4 linked regions of the Canis lupus familiaris genome follow. The protein of the gene in region 3 interacts with the protein of the main gene of each other region in a pairwise test. Links are inferred from orthologs where the notes say so. Each region holds a gene or a part of one and is shown on either strand. Other genes may lie near its edges.

Region 1 (4,060 bases), on a different chromosome or scaffold from region 3:
TGTCTCCCTTTCTGATATTTCCTACCCATTTCTGGGAGAAGTGGTTTTATTTCTGCTTGGCCTCCAAACAGGATCTGAAGCACACCAGTGACCTGCAGTCAGGTGCCCAAGAGGTGCAGGGAAACTTCCCTAGGCCTTCTCTTTGGTGGGAGAGGCCCACCTGGGTGTAGACCACCTAGATGGTGCAGATGTAGTGCTGAGACCTGGGACAGGCTTCTCTGACCCTCAGAAACCCGGAAGATTCAGGGTGACCCCGAAAGACCTTTTCTGGGCCACTGGGCCGTGGGCAGCATAGTGCAAAGTGTCAAGGAGCCCTTTGGGGGGCAGGCAATGGCACTGGACTCCAAAGGCTCAAAACCTCTCTGTGCGCCACCATGTGAACATCCAAGTGGCCTTCCCCCCTAAAGCGAGCTCGTAGCTTCCCGGCTGCCCACTGGGACCCGGGCTGACCATAGGGTTGTCCCGACGCGCACAAGGGCCACGCAGGGGCAGCCTTTCTTAACTGACATTCCGCAAACGCGCTCCGTCCCAGCAGGGCGCGGGCTCCACCCGCTTCACTCGGGGACTGCCGGGTGTCCCGCCGCGGATGGGGCGGGAGGAGGGCGCCGTCTCCCCCACCTCCCCCCAGCCCTGGCCTCAGCAACGGCCACGGCCGGGCGGGCCGGAGGGGCTCTGGCGGCAGCAGGACTGGGTCCCCCCGGCCGTGGGGTCGCCAGGGCCACAGGCGCGCGCGGAGACGGAGCAGCCCCCGGAGCGCCGATGCCGGGTGCCCCCCCCGCCCCGCCCCTTCCAGCACTCGGGCGCGGCTCAGGGGTCGCGCTCGGCCCTCGGCGGTGCCGCAGGCCCTGGGGCGGCCGGGCTGGGGGCGTGGCGGCGGGAGGGCCCCGCGCGCGCCCCGCCGCCCCCCCCCCCCGGCAGCCCGCCAACGCCCCCTCCCCCGCGCGCGCCCCGCGTCGTTGGTGCCGCCGGGCGCCGGCCCACAAAGCCCCCGGCCGGACGCCGAGGCCCGGGCGCGCGGAGCCGGGGCGGGCGGGGCGCGCCGGCCGGACCACGCCGGGGGCGGGGGTGTCGGGTGTCACCCCCAGCGCACACCTCGGCCGGGGGCGGAGGGAGCGAACCACTGAGACGAGGAGACCTCCCGGGTCCTAGAGCGGAGCAGGAAGTGTCCCAGGGGAGGGAGCCGGAGCTCTCCGGCCCTTCCTTTCCTGCGCGTCCGGCGGACTCCGCGGCGGCCAGGCTCGGCGGTCCCCGCCACCGCCCCCGCCCCCGCCCCCGCCACCGCCACCGCCACCGGGGACGCGCCTGGGCGGTGAGTGCGGCCCGAGCGGCCCGGGCCCCCGCCCCCACCCTGCGCCCCCGCCCTGCGCCCCCGCCCCGGCCCCGGCCCCACGTCCCCGCGCGCTCCGCGTCCCGGCGTCCCCCGGCCCCGCGCCCCGCGCCCCGCGCCCCGCGCCCGGCCGCCTGCCCGGAGCCCAGCGGCGGGGACGCGGGGACGCGGGGACGCGGGGACGGCGCGGGCGGGGCCGCACCGTGACACAGATGCCGCGTTTCAGGCGCCTCCGTGGCTCCCACCGCTCCACTCCCGGGCGCAGCCGCGGTGCTTGGATGAGCCAGGGACGGGGAGGGCCCCTGCGAGCGCGGGCTGGAAGGATGAGGAGCGGCTGCGGGACGCTTCCGCTGCAGCACGACAGATTCCAGTTAGACGCCGGGCGGGACTTCCAGGCGGTGAGGTGAGCAGCGCGGCGCTGGCGAGACTGCGGGAAGGGAGCGGGAGGGGACGAGGACAGCTGGCCCGGGCCTAGCCTAGCGTGGCCCCCGCTTCCTGGCCGTCCTCCCCCCGGAGCTGCTGGAAGCGCTACTCCCCGCCCGCTGCCGGAACGCCCCCAGGAACGGCGTGAGTTGACCCCTTGGGCCTCTGCCCGGTGCCGGGTGACAAAGGCTAGCGGGTTGTCTGCTGGGCTGATGCCCGAGGGCGGGCGTCAGGCTTCGGAGGCCCTGCAGGTGTGCGGCGGGGGAGGCGCGCTGTGATCTGAGACAGCGTGCGGGGGGGGGGCGCCTGCCGAGCCCATATCCTGATTTGTGTTACCTGGTTGCCCACCTGGCCTCAGTGCTCACCTGTGAAATGGGGGTGTCGGAGTCTTGCACACACTGGTGTCCACAGCTCTTCGAGGCCTTTCCCCATTTGCTCTACTTTGCTGGAGTCCCTGGGGCCACAGTGGTGGCGTTTGGCCACTGAGGTCACCCTGGGTGTGTGCCTCGAGGAGGTGCAGATGGCAGCACCCCACCTTGGCCCCTAGAGGACTTTACCCCGGTCGGAGATGACAGGGGGCTGCAGGGTGGCGGCAGGGTTGCAGGCCAGGGCGACCGAAGTAGACCCCAGAGTGTGCTGCTCAGACTTTGTAGTGAGGGAGGGAGCTGTTTTTAAACATGAAGGTACTTTCTCTGGGTCCCCAGGGTGTGGCCGCAGCCTTGGCTTCTCCCCACTCTTTGTCTGTTTCATCCCATCCTGTCCACTATGCTGCCTGGGGTTCCTTCCCCAGGTCGGACGCCACTGCTCAGGCCTGGCCACCAGCACGGTTGACTTCTGCTCCTGGATCTGCTCAGAAGGCTCCTCCCAGGCATGCGCATCTTTGTCTTTCCAGCTCCTCTTGGAAAGGTCTCAAGGACCAGGACAGCGACTTTGGCTCCAAAGCCTCAAGATAGCAGCCCCCTGGGCTCCTGCGTCTCAGGTCCTGCCCAGGAGGCCCTGGCCCCCGAAGGTACCACAGAGCCTTCATTACACCTGTCTCCTGCACACGGCCCTGCCCGTGTCCTGTCCTGCGCTTTCCCCCCAGACTCCTCACCTTGTGTGTCACCCAGCTCCGGGACTTACGTGCTTGTACTGTGGAATGGTGTTGGGGGTGGTGGCATGCTTCCCTCTCTGTGTGTGCAAGGAGCAGGCATGCTGATGCCTCTCACATATCCCAAAGCTTCTCCCAGGGGCTGGTCTGGGGGCTTCACCACTCTCCCCATCAGCACCCCCAAAAACCTCCCACAGGAGACCAGAACGTTGAAGCCAGTGATTTTTGTTTGGAAATAGGGTCGTCTTCTGCTGCTGACCCCCATCAAACCCCATCATGCCCACAGCCCTGTGCCCCCGAGTCTTGGCTCCAAAGGAAAGCGAGGAGCCCAGGAAAATGAGGAGCCCACCCGGAGAGAACCCCAGCCCCCAGGGGGAGCTTCCCAGCCCTGAATCCTCCCGCCGCCTCTTCCGCCGCTTCCGCTACCAGGAGGCAGCGGGCCCCCGGGAGGCCCTGCACCGCCTCTGGGACTTGTGTCGGGGCTGGCTGAGGCCCGAGAGACACACCAAGGAGCAGATCCTGGAGTTGCTGGTGCTAGAGCAGTTCCTGGCCATCCTGCCCCGGGAGATCCAGGGCTGGGTGCGGGCCCAGGAGCCTGAGAGTGGCGATCAGGCCGTGGCTGCTGTGGAGGCACTTGAGCGGGAGCCAGGGAGACCCTGGCAGTGGGTGAGTGGAGGGTGCTGAGCGGGGCGGGCCAGGAGGCGGGAGGGGAGAGGCAGTGTCTGCGTGCCCTGGCCAGGCTAGGAAAGTTTGCTAGAGCTCCGGGCCTCAGTGAGGCCCATGCTGGGGCGTCCATCTCTTGAGAAGGTGGGTTTCCTCCTTGACGGGCCTGACCAAGGGTGTGGTCTTGTCAAGCTTCCTCACAGCCCTGCACGGGGTCTAGTTGCGCCTCCTGCGGGCAGCAGGCCCAGGGAGGGAGGGTGCTTGGCCAGTGTCCAGCATAGCCACCAGCCCCCACCTGGTCAGCTAGCCCTGAAAAGCTCTCTCTGGGGTTGCAGCTCAAGCACTGTGAAGACCCCGTGGTGATCGATGATGGGGATGGCCCTCCAGACCAGGAGCAGGAGCGGCTGCCTACAGAACCCCAGAGCGACCTTGCAAAGGGCCAGGACACCCAGCCCGTGGCGCTGGCACAGGGCCCTGGGCTCCCAAGCAGACTGCAAGGCCAGCTCAGCGGGGATCCAGGTACCAGCCCAGGGATGCCCCATGCTGGGTGCTTGGTG
Region 2 (3,978 bases), on a different chromosome or scaffold from region 3:
GCCGGAGTGCCATCTCAACCCTCATGTCACAAAGCCCCCGGGCAGTGGCCCAGCAGGAGTGGGCTCAGCTGGAAGGCCAGCCACACCCCGGTCAGCCTGGGAACCCTAGGGAAGGCATCTAGCCAGCATTTCTCTGCTGGAACAGGGGGAAGCTGTGTTCCTTCAGCCCCCTGCCCTCCCGCACCGGGTAAGGCGTGGGCAGGGGCTGGAAGAAGGGTGGGTGGGAGAGGCAGCCAGGCAAAGCCTTACTTAGCCCACTCTCTGGGTGAAGGTATGTCATTTCTCCAACCTGGCACTTCTGGGAATATTCCCAGGCACAGCCCAGCCTTTGCAAAGCCCCCTCTCCTCCTCCCCCCACGGTGCCTGGGAAGGACATCCTGAAAATGGAAGAGGAGTCGAGACTGAAGGCCCAGCTGCTAAGCAAGAGGCCTAAGCAGCCCCGAGCCTGTCCCCCATCCCTGCCCCCACCCGACACACTGAACAAAGGCTGCAGCTCCCACGCGCACCCCAGTCCTGCCATCTGGGGATGGGCACCCACTCGGCACCGCCTGGGATGCTCCCAAAGGCAAAAAGGAAGGGAGCCCTGGCCCTCCTCAGCAATCCCCAGTTCCCCAGGGGATCAAGTAGCCGGGCTCCAGACCTTTAAAGGCTGTACACCGGAGGGAAGCCGAATAGGGGCAGGAAGGAGGAGAGAACAGGCCCCCTAGACTTCCAGGAGAATGGACAGTCCCTAAGAAGAATTTCTCTGCTACCCCCAAAGCATTGCCTCTTGTTAGTTTTATAAGAGAACTCTGAGTCCAGCAGACTCGAGGTGGCCATACAGGGAGGAGCCTGTTGGCGGGAGGTGGGCAGATGGAAGCCATCCTGCCCCCGCCTGGGTCCCTCCACGAAGGAGTTTCTGGGCCCTGAATAACCCAGGCGCTCAGGCAAAGAGGGTTGGTTACACCCTCAATCATGAGCGGCCTGAAGGGGCAGAGACAGCACCACTTAGAAGGAGATCCTCAAGTTTGCAGACCCGTGGCAAACTAGCGCAGAGGCGGCCCCGGGACGGGTTCCCATCCCATGTCCACCCCTGGGGTCTGCACGGCTCTGGCCCTCCCAGCCAGGGCCGGGGGGGGGGGGGGGGGGGGGGGGGGGGCGGGGCAAGAAAGCAAGCTGGAACACAGAGTGCCACGATCAAGGGAACAGAGAGAGGGGGCAAAGGCTGGCACCACCTCCTGGCCAAGAGCCCGGGGAGGGGGGGGGCGAGGGGGGGAACGTCCTCTGGGTCCAGCCCTCTCCCACCTCCACGGGCGACGCACCCCTGGCCTGACACTGCCACAACCGGCCGGGGGCCACACAGCCCCTCAAGCTCTGCACCAGCCACCCGGTAGTGCCCACCCGCCCGCCCGCAGGCATACGCGGCACCTGCAAGAGATAAGAGTGGCCACGTCTTCCAGCGCTAGGACAGCCGGGGCAGGGATGGGTTTGGGGTGGAGAAGAGGTAGCAGCCACCTGGAATAAGGCTGGGTGTTCCAGCCTTATTCAAATCCTGTTTCTCCACTTGGACATCCCACATCCGGATCAACCCCCACCAACCTGTCCTCCCCCTCCACCCCCCTCGGCGCAGGTACTTAACTACAGCAGATATGGACCTGCATCCAGCGTCAAGGGGGTGGGGGAGAAGCAGTCCCCCAGGGAGGAGGAAGAGGCGGGGCTGGAGGAGGGAACAGGGAGGATCCGGCTTCAGGCAGGTCCTGGCAACAATGTGGTTTGCACCTGTTATGCTGAACAAGCTGCGGGCTGCACCCTACCTGTAGGATCCAACGGGGACTGGGGGGAGGGGGGCACGGGTGTGACCGGGCTGTGGGGCTGTGGGGGGTGTCCTTCAGGTACTACACCAGGGACTCCAACATGAGCAATTCTCACTCGGGATCCCCAAGGACCAAGATTTCCACACCTCTCTCTCTCTCTCCTCTGTCCGCACCCGCCCCCACGCCCCACAGGATCCAAGACACCTCTTAACCAATCTTCCCGGTGCTTCCCAGACCCTGCCTCTAAGAAGACTGAGTGGAACACCAGCAGCCCCCCTCCACAGCTCAGCCAAGCCCCCCATGCTGGCCACTTCCTCCAGCAATCCAGAAGTCTCCTAACACCGCTCAGGCACCAACTTCGGGGATCCCTGCAAACTAAGCCACAGCCTCTAACGTGTTAAGAAAACAACTAAAGGAACGAGGGGTGGGGGAGGAGGCCGACCAGCCGGGGAGGAAGGAGACCCTTTTGGAAACCCAGAGCTGGCAGGAGTCCCGCGGATCCTTGCAACTCAAGTTCTGGGGATCTTCCCCCCCATACACACACACACACACCCCGCCCCACTGTACCGAGAGCCCATCAGCACCTCGGTCCGGGGCGCCCTGGGCCACTCGGGCACCCAAGTGGGGGGGGGGGCGCTGAACCACAGGCAGCCTCGTCCCCAGCAAGTCCCCACTCCCGGTGCCAACTCCAACTCCACCCCACCCCCCCCCCGCGGCTTCCACCTGGCTTCCACCTTGCACCTCTCGGGCGCCCGGGGGCTGGAGTGCGGCCCGGGTCGTGCCCCCGCTGCAAGCGCTCCCCCCGACGCCCGGGCTGCACCCAGCGCCCGCGCCCCTGCACGCCGACCCCACAACATCCTTTCTGCCCGCGCGGACGGCCGTCTCCCCCATGCAACACCCCGAAAGCCGGGGCTGGGGCGCACGCTCCCCGCGGGGCACCTACCCGGCGGCTCCGCTCCGCCCGCCCGTCCGTCCCGCGTGTGCGCTCCCGGCCGCGCGCTCCGGGCTCCGCAGCCTGTGCCGCTGGGGCTCCCCGGCGCAGCCCGACCCTCCTCTTAAGCGCTCCGTGACGCACGGCGAGGGGCGGGGGCGCCACTGACGCACGCGGCCCGGCGAGCTGTGGCCATACAAGGGCGCGGGGGGCGGCGCGGTTCCGGCGGGAGGCGGCGGGGGGAGGCGCGGGCCGGGGAGCCCGGGGGGCGGGGCGAGAGGCTGGAATGTCTGCGCGCGTGACGCACGCGGGGTTCCATTGACGCAGGGAGCGCGGATTGTTTGATCTATAAATAGTCCCCGCGCGCCCGCCGCGCCCGCTAAAAATAGCAGCTCGCGGACTCCCGAGGCTCCCCCCGCCCCGCGCGCCCCGGGCCGCGCCACCCCGAGGAGGGGGCGCTCTAGAGCCGCGGCCGCGGGGCTTCCCCGGGCTGAGCTCCCTGCAGCGCCCGCTGCTCCGCCTTCGCAGCCGCGCAGCCTCCCCGGAGGCCTGGGGCGCACCTCGGGGCGCACCCCGCCCCCCCCCGCAGCCTGCGCCCCTCCAGCCCGCGGCGCAGCGCGGCCACTTACTCCCCAGCAGCAGGGTCACCGGGTCGTCTGAGCCTCGAGCCCCCCTCCCCCCGCTTGCCTCCGCCCCCTACTCTCCCACGCAGGGCACCTTCCGAGGGCAGGCGTTGGCCGGTGGGCCCCGCTCCACGCGCTGGCCCTGATCGCTTCCCAGTCCCTTCCAGGGTGGGTGCGCTGCAGCTGGGAAATGACCGAATTTCAGAACCGGGCGGGGCCTGAGAAATCTGGTCAAATTTGTGCCGACTCTTTTTCCCCATTTTATAAATAAACAAGCTCGGAAATGATGGCACTTGCTCAAGGTCACACGGCGAGGTGGTGGCACACGCTGCCCCCCCCCCCCAGGGCCTCTCACTGCATCTCTAGGGGATCTTCTCACGCCCTCCCCTGACCACCTGTGGAGAGGGTAGCCTCGACCTGCCCCGTGAAGCCAGAAGGGATGGCCAGGGCTGCATCGATGGATCGGGCACAGGCCGCACTGCAGCCACCTGGAGGCCTCCCTGGTCTGGTTGTCACCTCGACACCCCCATTCCACCCCTGAACCTGGGGAGCCTGCACCTGCTAAGTAAGAGAGAGAGGGATAGGAGTGCTAACGTTTACAAGAAGAGACACCCCCCCCAAACACTGGGGT
Region 3 (4,253 bases):
ATCTCCTTTTGTGTTCTCATTAATCACAATTTCAGCGTATCTCTATTCCAAGAACACTCAAATCTGGCTGACTCCAGCTAACCTTTACATTCCTGACTCAGATCTTAAAATGCCAGTAGGATGCCTTCCAGTTTCCAGCTTCTCCTGGTCATAATTTCAACACATCCCAAACTGAAATCCAAGTCCCTCAAAGCTGTCCTCACTGCTCTCCCCATTCCATTGGCATCACCACCATCGCCCCAGGCTGAAAACCAGTCTCTACACATTGAGTCCAGCCGATCCTTCCTCGGAAGCACCTGGTGCTGCCATCCCCTCCCCTTTCATTCTCCTATTACCTTTACTTACATTCACGACTACAATAATGTCCTGACCTTCGCCGGGTTTTTACTGGTTTTTACTGGTTTGTCTGCCATTCGGTGAACATTTGAGCACGTCATTATTTTCCTGGCAAAACGCTAATCCCGGAATAAAAGACACAGCCTCTACCTCCTGGAAAGCCATGGTCTTCGCAAACTCAAGTCACCGCTGACTGCTCGGGCTTTTCCTAGCCACCTCGTCCTCCACGGCCAGGACTGCCCTTCTAGGGAGGCACATTTCCCAAGTCACGGTGCATACGCCATCCTACAACTCCTGTCCGGACGAAGGAAACTCCTTTGTGCTCCAGACTATTCGTGGGAGAGCGAGCCCGACCCTCAGCGCCCACCGGGTCCTTCTCCGGCTCTCGCCGCCCCCCCCTCCCCGTGCCCACCCCGGGGGCAGAGGCCCCGTCCCCACAGCCCCAGCGAGCCCGCCCCCACCTGGCGTCCAGGCAGCAGGGCCGTCCGAGTCACCGAGGGGCACCTGCGCCCCCGAGGCACCCCGAGGCACCCCGAGGCACCCCGCAGGCGCCGGATACCAGCACGTCCTCCTGCTCTTCAGCGGAGGAAACAGCTCAAGGATGTTGCTCAGCAAAGACGCGGCTCTCCCGACCGCACAGGCTCCCGAAGCCGCAGAGCCCGACCCGCCGGCAGCCGAGCGGGGCTTTTGTAGGAACGCGGTCCCGCCTCTCTAGGATCCCGCCGCCACCACCCCGCGCAGGCGCGGCGCGAAGCCCAGAGCGCGCCGCTCGTCTCCGTGGGCCCTTTCCATCAGCAACGGGATGGCAAAGCCGAGACCCTTTTGTGAGGCTCCTCTCGGGCTTCTGGTTAGACGATGAAGGAACAAGTACAATATGGCAAGCAGCACAAATTCCTAAAATTTAAATATGCAGGTGATACTATTCCCAATAAAAATTCAATTTGCATAGAGACCATAAATGAAGAATGCCCCATCCCTAAAGTTAACCATTGTTAATATCGTGTATGGGTTTCCCAGCACACTATCAGCCACGTAGTAGCACCCAATCAATCAACGTTTGTTTACTGAACGTTTATGGGATCACAACATGAATTTGCATCTCAGCCTTTTCTGTTACCTTGGAGATCTTTCCATACGAATTTATTTAACAGCCTAATAGTTTTCCATTGTATGGATGCACCACAGTTTACTCAACTATCCTACTGTTTTATAGTACACGTGTACACATATATATGTGTATATGCGCACATATATATATACACATACACTAAGTAATGCTGCAGAGAACATTTAATAGCTTTACATGCTCTTATAACTCCAGGTTAACTACTACACATTAGAATTGATCTGTCAAAGAGCATGTGCGTTTAAAATTTTATATACAGAACCCCTATTTTGAAGGGCAGTGCTGTTTAAAAGCAGAAGAATCTAAGAGAAAAATCCAGAAAAAAATGTAAGTATGGCTGTTCACAAAATCAGAATTATAAATGACCAATTAACATCCAAGAGACCAACGCTGACAGCAAAAATATTCTTTAAAAACCGCTTAAAATACTTATTTTGTATCCACCAGAATGTCATATATGCAAAAGGATAATTCCCAGGTTTGATGTAGGCATGGAAAAATGGGCATTTTCAGACTAACAGAAGGTACAGATTAGTATAACCATCCTGGAGGGCAATCTGGAAAATGAATCAAAAAGCCTTAGAAAAATGTGCCTACCTCTTTGTCTCATTAATTTTAGTCACAGGAATTGAATGAAGGAAAATTCTACAAAGTGAGCAAAGCTGTATGTCCAAGGATGTTCACTGAAATACTGTTTATGGTGACAAACTATAAACTAAAATGACTAATGGTAGGAACATGTACCACAGAATGTTGAGCGACCTTTCTTAGAAATTGTCTTCAATGAAGACTTTTAGTTATCTGGTGTCTTAATCAGGGCTTTCTTTTATTTGCTGGCAAGGAAACAAGGGCATTTCTTGGACTCCCAGGACCCACTGGGAATATAGTGGACCTCAGGAGAGGAGGGTCAGAGTCACTTCTCCAGAGTCTCTGAGTCTTCATTCTTTTACTTCTCACTGGGCTGGTTTGTTTCTATTTGGTTTTCATAAGACCACAAAAATGGTTCCAGCTCTAGATTAGTTTCTTGTTCAAATGCCTAACGAAGACCAAACAGAATCTGTGATCCAGTATGAAACTTCTGGGGGTATCCAAATGACCAAGCCTGGCTAAGAGGTCCCCCACCCTGGTCTAATGCTCAGTGGTCAGAGAAGGGTCACATGGCAAGCTGCCCACTCAGGATCGTGGCAGAAATGATAGAATGGACTTGGGCAGACAGGCAAATTGTCCTTTTCTTTTACAAATCAAAACTGTTAATGATATGAAGTCCAGTGAGAAAAGTGAAGTGTTTCTATGCATAAAAAAGATCAGTATCTCAGAATACATTAAGAGATTATGTCTAGACCACGCAGCAGGATGATTTAGTTTTTTTTTTTTACATGTTTTCAGGTCTTTACAAAGTATATGAATTTCTATAATAAATATAATGGGCAATTATATATTAAAATTAAGCAGAAATTATCAGTACTAATCACGATTCATTTGATTGTCATATATATACATGTATGCACGAATGTATACATGCATACATGCATGTATATACATGCATATACATACATACACTAAACAATGATTATTTTTGACAGGTGAAAATTAGGATGCTTTATTTTTTCCTTTCCTGTTTCTCCATACTACATGAATTAACGGCACATTTACTAATAACTGTATCAGTTTTTTAAACAGGAGTGAGCAGGAAATGTTCTTTTTTGAACATTACAGGATACTATCCCAACAGAAAAGCTGATCAGTAGAAGATACTTCACAATACAGCTCATCCTTTCTGGGCTGCTATCCTCTGAATAGACTTACAGCTTTCCTTTTAGGGCACCTAACAAGTGTTGCATTGCAAGCAAAACCTTCAAGATCTGTTATAACATTTGCCCTTTGTTCAATGTTTCTATAATCTTTGAGAAATAGAGAAGAAAAGCACATTATCAAAATATACCTATATCCAGGGGTGCCTGGTTGGCTGTCGGTTAAGAGCCTGGCTCCTAGTTTTGGCTCAGGTGATGATCTCAGGGTTCTGGAATCCAACCCTGAGTTGGGCTCTGCGCTGGGTGTGGGGCCTGCTTGAGATTCTCTTCCCCCTCTCCCTTTACCCCTCCCTGCCCCCATGCTCTCTCAAAAAAAATTTAAAATATTCCTGTATCCAACATATATGTTCAAGTGGTTATGAGTGCGCCCCCAGGGCACCGATGAGAAGACAATTTCCTTTGGGACTGTGAGAGGGAGTAGGCTAGTTAAGGTGTCCATGAATTTAGAACACTTATAATGTGTGTACTATAGAATCATCACAAAGAAAGCTAAATTTTCCAGTTATTGAAGGGTATGTCATTCTTCATGCTTTGACTCTTGTCATTGTCATTTATTTTTCATGAGAAAAATAAAGACATTCTGTTCTTTCCTTCTTAAATGGAACAGAATCAAACAGATTTAAACTATGACTCAGAGCTGAATGATAGGTACTGACTTCAGCACAGCCATCAAAACACTTGGGGGAAAATCTTCAATACCAACTTAATTTTATCCATCAAGGCAGAATAAAAGAAACACAGCTTTATGACCCCGTAAGGAATGGAATATGACTGTTCCATGAAATTCTTTAGTGTCTCAAAAAGTTGCTCTGCCTCTACAGATTTGGTCCTCCTCCAGGAAACAGTATTTTTTTTTTTTATTTTTTTTAATGATAGTCACACACACAGAGAGAGAGAGGCAGAGACATAGGCAGAGGGAGAAGCAGGCTCCATGCACCGGGAGCCCGACGTGGGATTCGATCCCGGGTCTCCAGGATCGT
Region 4 (4,052 bases), on a different chromosome or scaffold from region 3:
GCCATTTACGTGGGATCTTACCTAAAGCATTATGAAAAACAAACATCTTCCAATCCTTCGCATCAATACCTGTCATTGCCTTCTAGGACTGTTAAACCAATTCCACAAAAGAAGAAAAATGTGTAAATATTATATTAAACAAATGACACTTTCCAAAAGGGATGGAACGCAGGGCACGCTGTAGCTACAGAAGAAAATCCACAAGTCCCTTAATTGTAAAGTATCTCTTAACAATTGGACGATGATACAGATTGTGAAGGGCTTTAAGGAGTTGCTTGGAAAGCTTTAGTGTCTGGGATTGCTACAATTTACTTGGCAGTCTGCGCATTCAAGCATCTGCATTTAGTAAGGTTCGCTTTTGCGTGGCCACTCAAGTTATCCCCACATAGATCAGCGCCTCCTGCGCGCACCCTCGAATACCAGCCTTAAGCACGTAGAGAACCAGCACTACCCCGGCTGCTGTTTGTTTCCAAATACTTGCCTCCAATAATACTCAACAGAAAGATATTTTACTTTCCACTTTGAAACTCAGATTCCCTATTTAGATTAGCACCACACGAATACAACTACTATTAAAAATCGTTTTTTTTTTCCGCAAGAGTCTGAGCATGTATTTATTTACCGTTCTTTGACACATTCCTTAAAATCCTCTGAATTCCTAGATTGTCTCCTTCCCCAAGAAAGGGATTTTTTTTTCTTTTTTTTTACCATTTGGAATAGGGTGCTATTTAAAGAACTCTGAAATCAGAATAAAAAAAAAAAAAAACTAAAACTTTTTTTTTTTTCTCATACGTTCTGCCAAGTTCCACTGCAAGTTCCAAATATTGTGCAATAATTTGGAAATCCAGTTAACGATGGGAAAAATCGAGCCAGTCGGAGTCGGGAACTTGCAAGGGAAGAGTCAAGGAGCGGCACCCGCACGCACGCCCAGCGGACGCCGCAACCCCGGGTGCGCTCCCCTCCCCACCGCTCAGATGGAAGGTCACGCTTTGCAATCGATTTCACGTACTGTCACTTGTCCTTTTTTCTTAACCCTCTGGTAAACTAGTTTGAACTTTGGAGAGCTTATCGCTGTTGGCTGCAGTGTTGCCCTTGGAGAGAAACACGTGCCCCCAAATAACAGGACCAAAGCAGCCCCCGCCGAATTTGGCGGCGCGGAGCCAGAGAGGGCGAGACGCGTACCCTATTCCCCGCCGCCTCACTGTAGCGCCAGAAGCTTCTCTGTCCTTTCCCCGCCCCCTTTCGCCGACCGTGCCCGGTGCGCTCTTACCTGAGCTATCACTTTTCCTTTTGCCGCCACTTCTCTTCTCCGCCTCCGCGGGTGACAGCGCCTGGCGGCCGTAGTCTCCTGGCGCGCACGCGGCCCCGGTCGGGGTGCTGGAGCCCAAGCTGGAAGAATTGGAACACAGGACCGGCGGGCTGCTCCCCAGCTCCGGGGGCCCTCCCGAATCCGGCTGGAGGCAGAGGCTGTGACGAGCCGCGCTCGGGGGGGAGGACATCTGCGGAAGGTGCCAGTTGGTTTGCAGAGCTTGGTGCTGCTGCTGCTGGTGGTGGTGGTGGTGGTGATGGTGGTGGTGGTGGTGCCCCCTGTGATGCTGGCTGGCAAACATGCCCTCCTCGTTGGGGTATCCCGCGATTATGCAAGACGAGGAAGAAGTGGAGAGCTCGGGGTAGGACATATGGTCAGATCTTCCATGGAGGGCGAGAGAGGACTGGGAAAACGGGTGCAAGCCTTGCGCGGTGGCGTGAGGGCTGCGCAGGCAGCCAAAGAGCGGGTGTTCCATAGCATGCACGTCTCAGGTTCCAGGCAGAAGACTTCACGATGGTTCCGAACGCTACCACCCTCTGTCACTTTTCACTGGAAACCGTGTGTTTTCCCCCTCCCAAACAAATTTTACCCGCCGTTTCTGCAGAGCTCGGATAATCCCGGTCCGGAGCCCTAGCGGCCAGTCTCCTTTACATATAAACACTCGGACCTGGAGAAGCTTCCCTTCGAGCTACTCAGATGTCAAGAGTAGGAGAGGTTGAAGCCAAAAGAAGGTGGTCCCAGAGAACTGCGTTCAGGGGGAAACGGCTCTGAGAGGTTATAAATAGAGTGTAATGTGAGCTGGGGGCTGGCTCAGGAGCCCGGAGCTGACCACATGCAAACTCCCTCCAAAACTCCCGCTCAGTCTGCGCCACGCGCTCCCAGTTCCACTTCCTATCTCCGGCTGGACGTGCGCACTGCGTCCACGCCCGCCCGCCCTTGCCAGCAGCCCAGGCTGCGAGCCGCGCGCCTGGCGCCTGAGCCCGGCCCGAGCCCGAGCCCGAGCCCGAGCCCGAGCCCCAGCCCCAGCCGCGCGGACAGCGGCTCTCCCCGCCCGCCGGGCCGCCAAGGTGCCCTCCGCGCCCGCCCGCGCACGCCAGCCCCAACTCTGCACCCACCGCCCGACCCGCTCACTTCTCTTGTCACTGCCACTCGGGCGCTGTCACCTGCGGGAAAGCTCGGGGTACGCCCGGCTCTTGGGCTCGAAAGGGGAAGTAGGATTACGGAAAAAAAAAAAAAAAAAAAAAAAAAAAAGATTAGTTTGGCGCGCGCTCAGACAAGTTTTTCAAACTCTGCATCGACTCGTGCCCAGGGCGCAGCGGCGCGTCTAGCTTTTCGCAGCTGTTTTCTCCGTCCGGGTGGGTGGTTACCGCGCTCGGACCCGGCATCCGAGGTTTCTGGGAAGTGCCCCGCGGGTAGGAAAAGGGCCATTCTCAGCGCCGAAAAGAGAGAGACCTGCTGGGGTGCGGGGGACAAAAGCGTGGGGGCAGCAACAGTTGCAAGATGTCCCGAGACGCTGGCATCCTCACCTGCGGTGCCAGGTGGGGGTCTTTCTTCTCTTCCTATCTGAGTATGCCTTTCCTGCTTTGTTTGCACAACGTCCTTGCCCTTGCTTTCCTGGTCCACGTCAAATTCCTAGCCATTTGTCAACCCAAAACTTTTCGGGCAGGAAAACCCGAAGCGCTATCGCCGTGGTGACATGTGATGCGGTATCTTGCAAGCACATTTCCAGTCTTTCCCCTCAGGAGTCAGCTCATGTCCCCTCGTCTCCCTCCAGAAATTCACCTTCTCTTCCGCTCGAAAATAAATCAACTAATGGCACTGCTTCTGGCTCCCCCTTCCACCCCCCCCCCCTCCCGCGCCTGCCGCCATGGTCCCATTTACAGGGCAAATATTACACTTCGATAACCCCCAAAGTTCACCGAAACTGGGCGCTGCTTCAGATCTCCCTGGTTCCGCTCTCGCATCATACAAAATTAGTTAGAAGACTTGCCGTCAGTGAATCAGTGAGTAGGCGCGGCGGCTGGGCTTTAACACTGCCACTTGCTTGAGGGGTGACACTGTCTGCTGGGGGCACAGTCGTTTACACAAGGCAAGCGAGCCGCACTGAATGAGCTACAGAAACAGTCAAGTCCTGTCTGGGACGGTTCGCATCAGAAGATTGGCGCTCACCTATGCCGCCCAGGACCACAAACATGCCACCAGCAGTGTAGCCCCGTTATTTTCATTGTCTCACGTGTCCAGAGGATGGGGACCAGGTCTTTGAAGTTGTTAATGGGATTAATGAGGACAGCAAACCGGGCCAGCCATCTGGTTTGAATTAGGAAAAAGTATTGATTAATCTTTGAGAAGTGTCCCCAAGGCAGAAACTTTCCCTCAACTAGTCCCTTCAGGTTTCAGCCTATCTCCCTGGTCTTTTAAGCCCCACTGCTGAATAGTGGCCTCTCAATAAACCTTTACATCCGTGTGAAAGTTCGAATTGTTTTCCATTGCTTAGAGGTGGGATGGGGTGGGGGTGATCAGGAATTCTGAGATTTGTAAGCGCTGCTTTCTTTAACGGAAATTGAGCCCTATTTTGAGGGAAATTAGTTTTGCAGACTTCGTTAAAAAAAAAAAAAAAAAAAAAGCTAAAACTTTTGTTCACCAGCTGCTCAGCTTTTCAGTCTGGGTCTGAGCTGGAACCTGCTGCAAGCTTTTGACGGTAAGACTTTCTTTGCCGATATGTTTTGGGAATCTAATATTGTTT

Evidence for each region.
Region 1: the proteins of PGBD1 (region 3) and ZNF496 interact in binary tests that used the Homo sapiens proteins (3 or more experiments, as listed by UniProt). The two-hybrid records come from large-scale screens. The link is inferred for Canis lupus familiaris from reciprocal best matches to the Homo sapiens genes PGBD1 and ZNF496.
Region 2: the proteins of PGBD1 (region 3) and NR4A1 interact in binary tests that used the Homo sapiens proteins (3 or more experiments, as listed by UniProt). The two-hybrid records come from large-scale screens. The link is inferred for Canis lupus familiaris from reciprocal best matches to the Homo sapiens genes PGBD1 and NR4A1.
Region 4: the proteins of PGBD1 (region 3) and MEOX2 interact in binary tests that used the Homo sapiens proteins (3 or more experiments, as listed by UniProt). The two-hybrid records come from large-scale screens. The link is inferred for Canis lupus familiaris from reciprocal best matches to the Homo sapiens genes PGBD1 and MEOX2.

Annotation. Positions count from the first base shown.
Region 1 is NC_049229.1:279,363-283,422, reverse strand, and holds the start of ZNF496 (zinc finger protein 496), read left to right. Parts: upstream 1-1,260; 5' UTR 1,261-1,309; intron 1,310-1,553; 5' UTR 1,554-1,730; intron 1,731-2,540; 5' UTR 2,541-2,759; intron 2,760-3,079; 5' UTR 3,080-3,116; coding exon 3,117-3,506; intron 3,507-3,838; coding exon 3,839-4,022; intron 4,023-4,060. UniProt on the Homo sapiens protein: DNA-binding transcription factor that can both act as an activator and a repressor.
Region 2 is NC_049248.1:43,697,537-43,701,514, reverse strand, and holds the start of NR4A1 (nuclear receptor subfamily 4 group A member 1), read right to left. Parts: upstream 2,801-3,978; 5' UTR 2,737-2,800; intron 1-2,736. UniProt on the Homo sapiens protein: Orphan nuclear receptor. Binds the NGFI-B response element (NBRE) 5'-AAAGGTCA-3'. Binds 9-cis-retinoic acid outside of its ligand-binding (NR LBD) domain.
Region 3 is NC_049256.1:26,902,289-26,906,541, reverse strand, and holds the start of PGBD1 (piggyBac transposable element-derived protein 1), read right to left. Parts: upstream 2,801-4,253; 5' UTR 798-2,800; intron 1-797.
Region 4 is NC_049235.1:30,370,403-30,374,454, forward strand, and holds the start of MEOX2 (homeobox protein MOX-2), read right to left. Parts: upstream 2,801-4,052; 5' UTR 2,441-2,800; intron 2,238-2,440; exon of another isoform or gene 2,077-2,237; 5' UTR 1,785-2,076; coding exon 1,271-1,784; intron 1-1,270. UniProt on the Homo sapiens protein: Mesodermal transcription factor that plays a key role in somitogenesis and somitogenesis and limb muscle differentiation. Required during limb development for normal appendicular muscle formation and for the normal regulation of myogenic genes.